Linked DNA regions of Saccharomyces cerevisiae S288C. The main gene of each other region encodes a partner of the protein of the gene in region 3 in a complex. Each region holds a gene or a part of one and is shown on either strand. Other genes may lie near its edges. A codon is read from its position in the direction of its gene.

Evidence for each region.
Region 1: DNF2 (region 3) and YNR048W share a complex: the UniProt entries of both Saccharomyces cerevisiae proteins name them as parts of the flippase complex.
Region 2: the proteins of DNF2 (region 3) and LEM3 are in contact, whole or in part, in a cryo-EM structure (PDB 7KY7), measured with the Saccharomyces cerevisiae proteins. Residues at the interface, in NP_010378.1 of Saccharomyces cerevisiae: Arg302 (codon at 4,450), Tyr619 (codon at 3,499), Lys623 (codon at 3,487), Pro624 (codon at 3,484), Arg625 (codon at 3,481), Ser626 (codon at 3,478), Tyr629 (codon at 3,469), Phe630 (codon at 3,466), Glu631 (codon at 3,463), Phe632 (codon at 3,460), Val649 (codon at 3,409), Phe676 (codon at 3,328), Tyr678 (codon at 3,322), Thr679 (codon at 3,319), Asp680 (codon at 3,316), Val681 (codon at 3,313), Tyr684 (codon at 3,304), Asp689 (codon at 3,289), Pro691 (codon at 3,283), Arg1214 (codon at 1,714), His1219 (codon at 1,699), Trp1222 (codon at 1,690), Arg1226 (codon at 1,678), Tyr1248 (codon at 1,612), Tyr1251 (codon at 1,603), Asn1252 (codon at 1,600), Asn1253 (codon at 1,597), Asp1255 (codon at 1,591), Gly1256 (codon at 1,588), Ser1257 (codon at 1,585); in NP_014076.1 of Saccharomyces cerevisiae: Arg51 (codon at 1,653), Arg52 (codon at 1,650), Pro53 (codon at 1,647), Lys54 (codon at 1,644), Glu55 (codon at 1,641), Phe58 (codon at 1,632), Thr59 (codon at 1,629), Gln60 (codon at 1,626), Gln61 (codon at 1,623), Arg62 (codon at 1,620), Leu63 (codon at 1,617), Ala64 (codon at 1,614), Ala65 (codon at 1,611), Ile66 (codon at 1,608), Asn67 (codon at 1,605), Pro68 (codon at 1,602), Val69 (codon at 1,599), Leu70 (codon at 1,596), Val75 (codon at 1,581), Leu78 (codon at 1,572), Tyr79 (codon at 1,569), Ile82 (codon at 1,560), Phe86 (codon at 1,548), Ile93 (codon at 1,527), Glu102 (codon at 1,500), Tyr174 (codon at 1,284), Asn176 (codon at 1,278), Lys181 (codon at 1,263), Phe182 (codon at 1,260), Ala183 (codon at 1,257).

What each region holds. Positions count from the first base shown.
Region 1 is NC_001146.8:710,040-713,369, reverse strand, and holds YNR048W (putative aminophospholipid translocase regulatory protein), read right to left. Parts: upstream 1,741-3,330; coding exon 559-1,740; downstream 1-558. Other genes in the region: MSO1 (Mso1p), read left to right, coding at 1-347; serine/threonine protein kinase FPK1, read right to left, coding at 2,166-3,330. UniProt on the Saccharomyces cerevisiae protein: Accessory component of a P4-ATPase flippase complex which catalyzes the hydrolysis of ATP coupled to the transport of phosphatidylcholine and small amounts of phosphatidylethanolamine from the lumen to the cytosolic leaflet of the trans-Golgi network and ensures the maintenance of asymmetric distribution of phospholipids.
Region 2 is NC_001146.8:30,381-33,746, reverse strand, and holds LEM3 (Lem3p), read right to left. Parts: upstream 1,804-3,366; coding exon 559-1,803; downstream 1-558. Other genes in the region: KRE1 (Kre1p), read left to right, coding at 1-453; FIG4 (phosphatidylinositol-3,5-bisphosphate 5-phosphatase), read left to right, coding at 2,369-3,366. UniProt on the Saccharomyces cerevisiae protein: Accessory component of a P4-ATPase flippase complex which catalyzes the hydrolysis of ATP coupled to the transport of glucosylceramide, phosphatidylcholine, phosphatidylethanolamine, and small amounts of phosphatidylserine from the lumenal to the cytosolic leaflet of the cell membrane and ensures the maintenance of asymmetric distribution of phospholipids.
Region 3 is NC_001136.10:629,386-636,634, reverse strand, and holds DNF2 (aminophospholipid-translocating P4-type ATPase DNF2), read right to left. Parts: upstream 5,354-7,249; coding exon 515-5,353; downstream 1-514. Other genes in the region: E2 ubiquitin-conjugating protein UBC13, read right to left, coding at 6,030-6,461, 6,730-6,759. UniProt on the Saccharomyces cerevisiae protein: Catalytic component of a P4-ATPase flippase complex which catalyzes the hydrolysis of ATP coupled to the transport of glucosylceramide, phosphatidylcholine, phosphatidylethanolamine, and small amounts of phosphatidylserine from the lumenal to the cytosolic leaflet of the cell membrane and ensures the maintenance of asymmetric distribution of phospholipids.

The DNA.
Region 1 (3,330 bases), on a different chromosome or scaffold from region 3:
CGCGTCATTTCTCGCCATCCTTTTCTAACAGAAGGAAGGCTTCTTCAGAAGATCCTATGGGTACACCTTCTTCAAACGGGAACACACCGGAGTACACGCCTGCGAGTAAATCGTTTCAAGATATATACAATAATCATACAAGCTCCTCTAGCGCGACACCGAGAAGAGCTTCATCACGGCCGACTAGACCTTCAGCAGGCCAAGAATTCAGGGCAAGTCTCGGTCGAAGTAAAACGTCGAACAGTTTCAACACCTCCAGCACGCCAACGCCGCCACCAGACGCAAGTAGTGGAGTAATGGCAATGAAGGACAGACTAAAGAGACGCAATAACGATTATGGATTTTAAATAGCACTATACCTTGCTGAAATAAAGCGAAAAGAACATTTAATGAATATATAGGTATCGTATATGTACTGAATAAAGTGTTTGATACAGAATGCAAGGAGATAATATAGTATGGTATATAACCTCGTCCTTATTTTGAATATACATGAAATTACAACGCTTCCCTAGAGACCGAATCAAACGCAGGGATTTTATAGTAAATGATAATCAATCATAAAATTTCTCTCAATGGAATACTAACGACACTACTCTCATCGAATGGGGTATCGCTGTTCTCAAAATTTAGGTAGCTATGATCATGCATAGGTCTTGGTTTGAAGATGACTTTTATCAGGAATAGTATGGCGAAAAGAGTTGCAATCCCGGCAACAATCAAATAAACAATCCCTAATGCCTCGTTTCCAGCACCGATAATACTGTTTGTGGTTAATACAAAAGATTTTGTTCCATAGAAAGATCTTACTGGGTAGTTGAGTTCTATATCAGCAATGTAAATACCCTTACCTAACCCATTGGTCTCATTTTTCATTGCTAGCTTATAGAAGTTGGGCAATGCAGCAGTTCTCATCCATATTTTGAACTGTTCCCAGTTTTGTAGGTCTGGAATGTTATCGTCAGTGTAGCCATTGGGAAATAACTTGGCCCAATTTGGGGGCGGTACGATATCGGATGCATTGTATTCGGTCTTTCCATATCTGTGGCTGTCGGTGTCCCACGCAATACCTTTTGTGGTAAGCAAATAATCTGCAGTATCGTTTACACCAGTAAGTGTTGTGCCGAATGTATCATTGAACATCGAATTTGCTATCAATCCACAGGGGAATATGGTCTTATTTTCTACCGTCCTTAAAGGGTCACAGTTTGGATCCAGATCATTTCCGATCAATGCTTTTCCTTTTAATTGGTCTAGGTCAAGAGATTGCACATATTCTCTATAGTTTTGATTGAAATTTGTTAGGCGGTAATAAACATAAGTAGATTTCTTGATATGATTTGGAACTTCGAACTGTATTCGACAAGTTTGATTGCCTAATTCAGGATCCGTAAGTACCATCCATTGAGGTTGGACTGCGACTTTCTTACTGAAGTGGTAGTCCACGTACTCGGAGGGAATCGTTTCAAAATGCTTCGCCGGTGCCAATGCATCACATTCTGTGTAGTTTACCACTAGTCTTTGGACACTTATCGTGCTGACCACCAGCCCTATACCAATGGGTGCGAAGACGCATGCCATCAAAATAAGCAACGGCAGTACGCTCTGTGGCGACAAGATGGGCTGCCAGGCTTTGAGGCGCTGTTGTCTAAACGATGTGTTTGCCGGTTTCCTGGATTTTTGAGCATTTTGCTTACTAGACAACTGTTTTTTCTCTTTCCACCTTAATATCAGTCCCATATTGCACAAAAAAATCTAAGTTCCAGCACTTTATTCTAGATGTTAACTATTGATTAGATATCTATTTGCTTTTAACTTGTATATTGCGCCATCCTTCTATCGTTTCTTCAACTATCGCGTGAAAAATAGTACGCAAGCAAATCGAAAAAACTACATAGAGTTCATTGAAAAGAAAGGCAATGCTTCATCTGATGTTTACACAGAATGCTAGAAATTGAAACACCGATATATGATTTATTTAAGTTACACACTACTGACTAACTGACAGAGGAAAGAAAATAAAGAAAAAAAAATAGGTAGATAAGGATTTTGAAAAGAAATAGAGTTCGTTAAATGTATGATGAATAAATGAGGGAAAAAATAAGAGTGAAAAAAAAATCAATAAAAAAAAAAAAAATACCGACACTTATACGTCAAAGCCCCCTTTATCTCTTAAAAAAGGTTCGATGACTATTACTCCTCGATCTGTTGGAGTTTGGAGTGTATGCAATTTTCCCATAAGAATTGGTATTACCATAAATCATTGAATTGTTATCCTGTTCCATCAAACTCATTGAATTGAAGTCATGGAATGGATCATCTTCAGAGACTTCATCGTCGTATTCAACTCGTTCTTCAAACATATTTTTCTCTTGCTCATCGAGATGTTTATGGCTGTCTTGACTAGTCTGTCTCTTCTTATTAGATGATAATTTAGCAAAATCATATCCATCCTCAGATAACACTGGTATCAGAGGCGGTTCTTGATTTCTCAGCAAAGACCATTGGACTTTCTTGAAAAAGGGGTGTTTCTTCACGTCGGCAGCGCCCATTTTGCAACCCAGTCTTTTAGATTCATTTTTTGTCAGTAATTTTTTGATCAAATCCTTACAAGTTCTGGAGATTTCATTGTTATTGGGAAAACTGACCTCATTTTTCAAAATATTCGTAAAAGTTTCATTTGTGTTATCGCCTTTGAATGGAGTGAAACCAAATAACATTTCATAGATCAAAATCCCTAGCGTCCACCAATCGACCGCAGCGGTGTGGCCATTACCTCTTATGACTTCAGGGGCAATATATTCTTCAGTTCCGACAAAGGAATTGGTTCTAAACCCATCTGAGCATATTTTGGTATCAACAAGGGTTGATTGAGCGGAACCCTTGACAACAGGAACCTTGGAATCTTTAGCCTGAATAGACAAGTCGAAGTCAGAAAGCATGATATGGCCTGATTGATGCAGCAAAATATTCTCTGGTTTTAAATCTCTATAGATAAAACCCAACAGATGTAAATATTCTAGTGCTGCTGTCACTTCACTGGCATAAAACCTGGCATCGTCTTCACATATACATTTGGTTTTCCTTGTTTGTAAAGCTCTGAAAAACTCCCCGCCCATACAGTATTCCATACAGAGATACAAATAGTCTTCAGATTGGAACGAATGGTATAGTGTGACGATGAAGGGATGATTGCTGGTGGCAAGAATCTCTTGTTCTGTCAGAACACGTTTGATTTTATTTCTTTTTATCATTTCGTCTTTACTCAAGACTTTCAAAGCATACACTCTATTCGTCTTTTTCTCTCTTACTAAGAAAACTTTACCTACA
Region 2 (3,366 bases), on a different chromosome or scaffold from region 3:
TCTGGTTCATCCTCCAGTGTAAAGACGACCACATCGACAGGGAGCGCAGTAGCTGAAACAGGCACCAGGCCAGACCCCTCCACAGACTTCACAGAACCTCCTGTGTCTGCTGTCACTAGTCTATCTATTGACTCATACATTACCATCACTGAAGGTACAACCTCCACTTACACAACCACACGTGCGCCAACGTCCATGTGGGTCACTGTTGTTAGACAGGGCAACACTATCACTGTGCAAACTACTTTTGTCCAGCGTTTCTCCTCCCAGTACGTAACAGTCGCTTCTCCCTCCGTGGGGTCTATTGGGATGGGTACTTTAACCGGTACTGTAGGCGTTATTAAATCTGCAATAAAGAAAACAGTTTCGCATAATGAGGCCCAGCATCTAGGTATGAGTTCGTTTACTTCAATTTTGGGTGGGCTATTAACGGTTTTAATTTGGTTCTTATAAATTTTTATTCAGAAATAAACACAAACATATACATATATAAGAGTAAAAATAAAAAAATAAAAAAATTTTACAGGGTTAAAAATAAAGAAAACCATCACTCCTTTTCTATTTCATATTCCATGACAAACTTGATGCATCAGCAATCTTTCTACCGCCGAAGAGCCAAAACGTTAATAATATCAATGCCATGGCAGCACAAATACAGCCTCCAATCAGGTAAACTATACCTAAAAATGGATTTCTACCGCCAAGGTGAGAACCGTGAGTCAAGTAGATTCCCTTCTTACCATTAAACTCCAATACTGGCCAATGCAGACCGATATCCAACTGGTATTCACCCGCTGGCAAAGTATCGTTTTTATTGATTCTGATCAGTTTTGTAATTTTATCAAAAGCACCTGGCCTCATCCAGTTTTGGAACTCTTCCCAATCCTGAATATCAGGAATATTCGTCTCGTTGTATCCATCTGGATACATCTTTTCCCAATATGGTGGAGGTGCTATCTGTGTATAATTGTATTTGGTTTTTTTGTACCTTTTTTTATCAGATTCCCAATTGATTCCTTTATTTGTCAATGAATAGTTGTTAGACGTATCCCCTACATTTGTTAACTGCAGGGGGAACGTGTCGTTGAACATTGAGTTCGCAATTAGGCCACATGGATAGTATATTTTACCATCGGCGTTCTTAGATAGTGGCTTACAATTTATACCGGTTGCATCATGCACCGTCTCATAAGAGGCGTCCTCCCCACGTATCTGATCTTCGCTAAAAGATAGTACATATCTTCTGTGATTGGCAGCAAATTTTTCCAGCACATAATTCAAATATACGTTATTTTTCATATCACTTGGAGTAGTGAACCTGATTTGGCATGTACCTCTTTGTTTTGTGAAGTCATCTGATTCATCATCCACAAACCTCCATTGTGGTGCAGTATTATATGTTTTATATTTGTGAAATACAAATTGCCAATGTTCAGAAGGGATGTCGCTCCATGATGAGGTTGCGTTAGTCATACAGTCCTGGTAATATATGGTTACTTCATCCACTTTGGAGTTCTGTGCTAATATGCACCCTCCTACAATAACAAATACAACAGCAATTAACAGATAAAGAGGCAAAACTGTCCTCGGCGTTAACACCGGGTTTATAGCCGCTAATCTTTGTTGAGTGAATGCATCCTCTTTGGGTCTTCTGTTCTTTGTACGCACAGGCTTTACTTCATCCTCTTCAAACTCAGAAGCATCGACGTCTTCTTCTTCTTCTGGGTTGTCTCCGGACACTATAGCTCCTTTGTCCTTTCTACGGAATACTTCACCAACTTGGCCCAAATCGAAATTTACCATTCTTCAATATTTTACCACCCTCTCGTATTTCTAAAAGGACACTTAATTGTTTTCTGGTCTGTACTGATGATTTAATTTGATCTATTTATTTTATCATCATACAAGATTCCTTTTCTTTAATTTCGCGCATAATAATAATCGTTGGAAAATCAACTGTCAAAAGCCACCAGAACGGCAGACAAAGTTGACACTACAACATTGGACACATACTACCAGAACGCTCATTTGCATTTTGCCACACTTGTACACTAGTTACTGGCACTATCTTGCGGTGGTCACTAAGGCGCACTACACTCGTTACGCCATTTGGGTTTATTGCAGCACGTTCATTTACTTGTCCTCCTGATTTGTTAATACCTCTTGCAATTGCATTAAACATATATATATAATATATACATGTATATATTTCTTGTAAAGTTTTCAAGCTCTTCTATTGGTCTCTTTACGATAGTCCTCATCTACTTAGCCGAGCACTATTGAAATGTAAATGCTGTGATATTATTTGAAATTAATTAGTTTTGAAACGTAGTAACGTAACGCAAAGCAAAAAAGAAACAGGACAAGGATGAACAATGATGCAATGGAGCATACCCTTGGTGGAGGTATACTTACCACATCTGGGTCTAAGCAGAGAAAGACCTCTAAGTTTGTAATGGGTAAATATACGTTATACGAAACCAAAGATCGAATGTATATTGTTGGAAGCAATAAAAGGGAAACCATGTTTCGTATTCTAGAAATTGATCTTACTGTACCCCGTGGAGAATTAACTGTGTTGGAGGATAATGTCTTCTTCACCAGAAATGAAATCATGAATGTACTAGCAAGTTTAGAAGAAGCAACTGAAGATGGTCTACATAAGAAAATTACAGGATACGGTCTTCTGGGATTCATTAAATTCACCTGTTGGTACTATTTAATAATGGTTACCAAGTATAGCCAAGTTGCAGTGATTGGCGGTCATGGTATTTATCACATTGATGGTATTGATATTATTCCTATTACGAACAACTATAAAAAACCTGAAAAAAGTTCAGATGAGGCAAGGCTATTGAATATATTTAAGGATTTAGACCTAACAAAAACCTTTTATTTCAGTTATACCTACGATATCACAAATACTTTACAAACCAATATATTGCGAGAGAAATTAAAAGCGGTTGACCGATGTGATATTACAATACCTTGCGGGATAACCGACTATAACGAAATGTTTGTTTGGAATAACAATTTATTATCTCCTATTTTTGCTTGTATTGACACTGTTTTTGATTGGTTCCAATGCATTATACATGGATTTATTGACCAGGTTAATGTTTCAGTTTTGGGTAAGTCCATATATATTACTTTAATCGCAAGAAGATCCCACCATTTTGCTGGTGCACGCTTTCTAAAGCGTGGTGTTAACAATAAAGGTCATGTTGCTAACGAAGTCGAAACTGAACAGATTGTAACAGATATGATTTTGACTCCATTCCATCAACCGGGAAATGGATTTTTTGATAGTGATCGATACACTTCTTTTGTACAGCATCGTGGCTCAATCCCCTTATACTGGACCCA
Region 3 (7,249 bases):
TTCTTTTTCGGTTTGCTATTTTTACCTTTCCTTTCCTTTCTCTTTGGTGAAAAACCGGATCGGATGTAAACGTAAATGCCAATTCAAGGGACCTGTAAGACAAGAGAATGCGAAGCGGTAATAGTGGCAGTTGTAACCATTTTCTAGTCTTTCTCCGTAAAGTAGTTACTTGCCACAATGCCGCCATAGTGCGGAAAACAACGAAATATAATTCCTTGAAGCACAAAACGCCACCCCTTCCCCTTGCCCTTGCCCTTGCGGACGCCCTTTCCCCTCAAAATTTTTTTCATATTACGTCTCCGGCTTCGCTCTCTTACTCTTGGCGCCGGGCGGACCCCGGCAGGAAGGGGAGAACCCAGCCCCTTCCTACTCAAGGCTCTGCGCGGCGTTTTCTCCACACCCCACAGGGCGGGGTAGAGCCGTGCCGGGTGATACACATCATCACATCCTATATGAAATCTATATCATATCACATTGGTATACATAGTACAAAGGAAGAAAAAAATTGTAATCATTAACGGTCCCTGCTGCGCTGGCTGAGCAGCGTCTCTGCATGATTGATACCCGGCAGATCCAGCGAGGCACGTGCTCTTTCCACGGAGTATCTTGTGTCCAGTTGGTGGTTGGCAAGCATCTCTTCTCTTGTGCGATCCAGCGAAGTTCTGAGCTTATTTCCGCGGGCACTGGCCATTGATCTTCTAGGCAAGTTGTTCGTTGTTGTAACGGGGCTGAGCTGGTCACGGCGTTCCAGAGTGGTAGAGACACGGTACCCCTTGCGCGAGCCTTGCTCACCATTGAGTATACTCATTGGTATTTCCTCTGTGACTATGGTCTCTTGTGAGTGGCTGACACCATCAAAATGAGTGTCCAGTGAAATGGGCTCTTTGAAATCTGTAAGGGGACGTATTTCGTTTATTCTGGGCCTGCTAGGGTCCGTAGGGTCGTAGCCTTGTGGGTAGAGGTCAAAATCACCGCGTAACCACATTTCTCTAACGATCTCTATATCTTTCGGATAGAATATCTTTCTGATACAGTCAATGGTGAATCTTGGCAGTAGGCAGAACAGCACGCCAACGAAAAGTACTGCCCAATAGGCAGGTTGTGCGAATACACGCGCCGCACCCTTGTAAAATTCGTTACTTGACGACGAGCTTGTCCATATACCCGTCCAGCCGTAAAACACGGCCAGTGATAGACATATGAATAGGCCACAGAACCAGTCCCATCTATACTGTTCCATGAAGACGTAAAAGTTACATGAAGTGACTGCAATTGCTGTAACGAAGACACCGACAAAGTAACGGTGGTCTAGTCCAAGGCCATTTTCAGTTACAACCATGTTTTTATGGTACGCCAAATAGGGGAAAAAGAAGCATATCACAGATTGGTATACACCATCCAACATGTACCAAAGAAATTTGGTTTGGTTCCATTCTTTTCTTAGGATACCCACACGGTACAACTGTGGCACCAGCATCGAAACGGTGTCGGAAACATCTTGGTCGAGTACTGCTAGTAAAATAACAGGTACGGATGTGAATGCAAGATTGTAGAATGTCAAGTACGTATACTCAAACAAATACGACCCATCGAAATTATTGTAAATACCATACCAGAACAGGGATAGCGTAAAAATAACGTTCTTGTAGAAAAACTGTGGGATCATCTCTGCCAGTCTCTTATAACACCATTTACCATGCACCAATACCAGTCTTGTCACATATCTGAACTGCCCGATGGCATAATCAGAACACATGACAGCTTGTCTGCCTTCTTCACCCGCGATACCAACACCAACGTCCGCCGATTGAATCATGGCTACATCATTCGAACCATCACCAATGGCCAAGGTCATAACGTCTAAGGTCTTTTTTACCAACTTGACCACTGCAGCCTTTTGTGCTGGAGAAACTCTGCAACACAAAACAGCTTTACAATTCTTACACAGTAGCAAGAACTTGCGTCTCATTTCTTCACCATTCAAAGCAACTTTTAGCGCATCGCCATCGATAATGACAGCAAAATTTCCCTGTGGCAAACCATGCTCTCTTTTAGCTTCTTTTAACTCCTCCTCGGATCCACTCATGCCAAATTTTTCCCTTAAGTATTTTGTCACCAAATTGTTAACCACTTGAATAGGGTCACTACCAAATTCTTCTACATCTTCGCCGGAAGCCTTCACAACCAATAATTCCATATCATTGTTCAAAACATTGCAGGAAAAACCAATGTTAATGGCAGTTTCCACTTTATCACCCGTTAGGACCCATAACTTAATACCGGCCTCGGCCAAGAGGGCAATCGAATCAGGAACACCATCTTGTAAACGATCCTCAATGGCCGTACCACCAAGCAAAATAAGCTCACGTTCAATAACGTCAGTAACTTTGTCCAACTCTTCCTCCCTATTAGTAACGGATGCAGCGGCCACATCATAAGTCTTAACCCAACGTTCATACTCGGACCACGTGAGCTCTCTTTGAGCCAAACATAATGTTCTTAAACCTTCTGTGGCATATTCTTCCAAATGGAGGGCCGTCTTTTCCAACAAAGTAGCGTCGTTTTGAGTGCGATCTAATCTTGAATAGATAACGGAATCCGCACCTTTACATATTAACAGTGCTTTAGGTTCATCCTTTGGTGTAGAGCCAGGGATCTTGATAATGCAACTCATCCTTTTTCTCGACGAATTGAATTCAAGTACGTTCAGAACTTGGAACTCCTTTTGAACACCCTGGATCTCTACTATCAATCCACTTTTTGAACTACCAACGAAACTGTACCCTAATTGTCTGGCGGTGGAAACTAAGGCAGACTCATCAGGTGATTGAGCCTTGATGTCCAGTTTTTTAGGATCATCTTTATTTGGCTCCACAAGGACAGAATGACATAATGCGAGCGCCAGCAAAAAGTGTTCACAGCACTTTTGTTGATGGTCGCCACTGGATCCTTTCAAGTCTTCCACAATTTCCTTAGATACAAAAGTTAAATCCTCCGGACAAAACTGTGTATTATCACTCATTGATCTTAATTCGTCGATCATTGTTTCCCTATCTTTTGCTATCTCTTCCTTTTCGCGACGACCTTCCGATTCGACATCAACACCTTGTCTCTTCCTCAGGCCTGCTAGTGCCTCCGTATAGGCACGTCCATAAGACACACCGTTAATAGTACATTTTTTGAATTCCATCACATTTTGTGTCAAGGTGCCTGTTTTATCTGAAAAAATATACTCAATTTGACCCAAATCATCGGAGATGTTCCACGACTTTGGTGTACATGGATAGTCTAGCTTGGCATTATACAACAAAACATCAGTGTAAATGAAAATAGCCTGTGCTGTCTTAATAATTTCCACAGAAATATATAAAGAGATCGGAACCAATGACTGATAAAGAATAACCGCCACCCAAAAAGAAACAAAACCGTTAGTTGAGGCAGAACCTCCAATGGTACCAAATTCAAAATAATCTCTCGATCGAGGTTTCTGTTTATAATAAACACCGTTAACAATACCAGCAGTGAAACATAGGATAAACAATAGTACAAAATTCAAAATCACAGAAAAATTCAACTCTCTTGAAATTCTGGATTTTTTGGTTGGAGTGACACCAGCGTTTATCATAATCTTGGTATCGTCACCAGTAAAAATAACCATACCCATGGCCCACTTAGTGTTTCTCAAGGTACAACCTCTCAATAATAAGTTATTGATATTTACAGGCTCATTTCTGATGTTTCCATTTTGTGTATCTTGCCATTTGAAATTACCTTGATAAGAATACAAGTTGGCATGTGGGCCTTCACTTTCAACCCAAAACTTCGTCCTGGTAATATCCCTTGAACTCTTAATAATCTTGCTACATTTTAATGATTGACGGACCTTTAGATTTGTTTCACCATCCAAATTTTTGGTTTCCACATAACAAGCGCCATCAACATCTGATGTCGATAATAAGATCATATCAGCAGGAATTTCATCGTTATTGTGAACACGAACAATATCACCAACTTTAACATTTTTCCAGTAATCCTTGGCAAACCTACATTCAGGGTTTGGCTGTAGCGTTCGATCAACTAAATTTTCACCATCGTTATACCTGTTAGCCTGTGACATTGTTTGATTCAGGTTCTCATAATCCAAAGAGGGACGACCAAAGTCGGCAGACATTCTGTAACTACCAATTGAATCCAGAGACCCACGTGGCCCAAAGCTTCTCGAGTTCCTCTTCCTTCGTAATTCTTCCCTTTTTTTCTGTAACTTCTTTTCTCTACCAGCAGCAGTGAGGTTTTCTGAAAAATACTCAAAAATTTTAATCAATGCCCTTGTATTCGCTTTCTTGAAACGCCTCCATAAGGAAACGTTATCAACAGCAACATTTTCATTCTTCACCCCGCTTAAGATATGTGTTCTTGTATTATTAACTTCTAAATCCAATACAGTCCTTCTGGAATCTTCGATACCATCCTTAATAGCAGTGATAATTACGATGACAATTAGGGGAACGGATGCAAAACCTGGATTTGTCACACCAAATATTTGAAAAGCACCTAGAATCAACAGTATTAAAAAGTAAATATTGGCAAAATTATGAAATTGGAAAAGAATGTTCTTGGGAAAAAATGTTAATGGAGTATACTTCGTAGTCCTGATTTTATTACGCGGGTAAACTGCCAACGGTAAGCCGTCCTCGTCAAGCATGTCCTCCGGCAAGGGTAAATTATAGTAAACTGTTCTCAACTCATCAGACCTATTTTGCAAGGCTGAATTTTCGAGACTGTCTTCTTTTGTACTGAATTCATCAATAGCATTGTGGAAGTTCTTCTTGGCCCATTTCAATGTTTTTGACCTATTTATATCTATCCTACCTGACTTATTTCTTCTTGTACCAAAACGTACTCTTTTCAACTTATGATCTGCCTGGGAATCATTGTTGCTACCTTCATTGTTATCCAACTCAACATCCTCAAAGCCTCCAGTATTAGGCATAGGTGTTGCCTGGAACGAATGGAGGTCATCATCCACCTCATTTTCGTGTTCATGTATCTCGGTTTTTTTACCATTGAGTTCATCATCATCATTAATATCATTATCGTTACTATAATCATCGATTCCATCAAAAGTAACTTTTGAGAGATCGGGTGTGCTAATATCTTTCATTGGCTTAGATTGTCGCTTCAAAACAGAACCGCCGGTTTTCGCTACTTCAATATTTCCATGCGCACTACTGGGTTTTTCAAATTGAAAACTATCGTCAAATGGTGACATGGACGACAGACCATTAGATGCTGATCCCGATTCATGCTCAATATCATCCACGAAGGGAGAAGTGGGTTTGGAGGGACTTGACATATATGTGTTGAGTTTATGCTATGATTCTTTTTAAAGAATTCTATTATTAAAAGGATTAGGAAAAAAGGAACAAAGTACGAACAATGTGAAAGCAAATAGAAAAAGAAACGGATGGTTTTTTAAACTCTCTCAACGCTCTTGCGTTTAATCAACTCTTTTGATTAATTTGTTTCACCTGAGACTCTGTCACAGCAGAAAGAAGCAGCGAAAGTAATACTAAGAGGTAAACCACCGAGTAAGCGATGAATCTGGTTTGTCTATTGTCTGTCTCTATGCAATAGCAGGTAAGATCAACAAAAGCGATAATAACAAGAAATACATTAAAAACTTTATGATCCGGAATTAAACGTGGACCCTCGAGCGGACTAATGCTTACATTAGTGTAGGACGGTCGATCCCGGCTTCCATGGAACGGTTGAAAAATTTGGTGCGAAAAAAAAAAAAAAAACGAACAGGGTAGGAAAAAGTAAACTAAAACGCGTCTAGTAAAAATCTGGCGTAAAACTAAAGGTAGAGAAAACCATTTTAGCGACGCTACATTTTTGAGAAATGCGCCTCTTTAGATGACCATCTATGGTTTTTGCATTTATCGTAAATTTTTTTTTTTTTGCAGCAGCAGCAGCATAGTAATGATATATATTTATATATTCAGTTGAGAAAACTTATACAGAAATGATCACTCGGGTTTCTTCTTTGCATACAATTTCGTCCATTCGCGAGCCTTAGCTTTGGCACCTTGCTCATTCTTTATCCAATCTTCAGCGACGTCATTAGCTAGCGGATCATTAGGATTAGGGCTAGCCAACAGTGCTTGAATGGACAGCAGGACGGTTCTGATCTGTAAAGCGGGTGACCAATTAGTTTTAAGCACATCAAGACATATACGGCCCAACCTATCAATATTGGGATGATATATCTTGGTTAAAAAACGTACTTTCGGTGCTTCCATTGGATAGTCGTCAGGCAGATATAATTCTAATTCGAAAATACCGTCTTCATATGGTGACTGTTCTGGGCCTTCGATTGTTACTTGGAAGTAACGTAAGTTGTCGTCATGTGGTTCTGCTGTAATGCCAGGTACTGGGTCACTTACTAATTTCTCAGTTTCCTATATGAAAGTTCACAAAGACTTTGCGTTTTCTGCCCTAGTAGTTTGTTCTGTTGAATTCCCTCCATATGAGCGTTTGCGGATATGGACAAAGGGAAGGCGGAACGCTGCTACAAACTGGACAAAAAAAGCCTTCTTGTTTTGGAAGTTTTGCGTTAGTATGTAAGTTCTAGCCATTATCAAGAGGAAACAGTGTAGAGTGTGACGGCTCAGACGAAAACGTCACTTCAGATTTCGTATATAATCCACTGCTCTTGTTTGAACATACCTTGATTATTCTCTTGGGTAATGATGCCATTTCTAACTATGTTACAATGAACCTGACCTTATTTGCTAATATTGGAAAAAAAAAGAACAGAAGAGTGTAAAGTACTATTCTCTATAGAGGTGTTTTGGTTCGTGGTGGCGCGCCATCTTTCAATGAATCACTTATCCTTTGTTTTAAAAACACCATAATTTCGGGTAACAATACGGATGCGGCATAATTAACTGAACTATTCTCTTTGATGGTTTAAAGGAAAACAAATTCCTGTTAGATGCCCATTATATTTGTTCACATGTAGAGAAGGCAAAGAAAAAACTGCTTATTGTACTTTGGTAATTTTTTAAATGATATTTAAAACGTTAGTATTTTCTGTTCCCGCGGCTCCCGCAGAATCTAATCATTAAGCTTGACTAGTATCAAGCTTTTTTCCTTCTTGTTCTGCATTCAAGTATTTGTTGGTAGTATTTCTAGACATCGAAAAGCTTTTTTAGCCCAGAAAAAAAGAGATGAAACGCTTAAATAT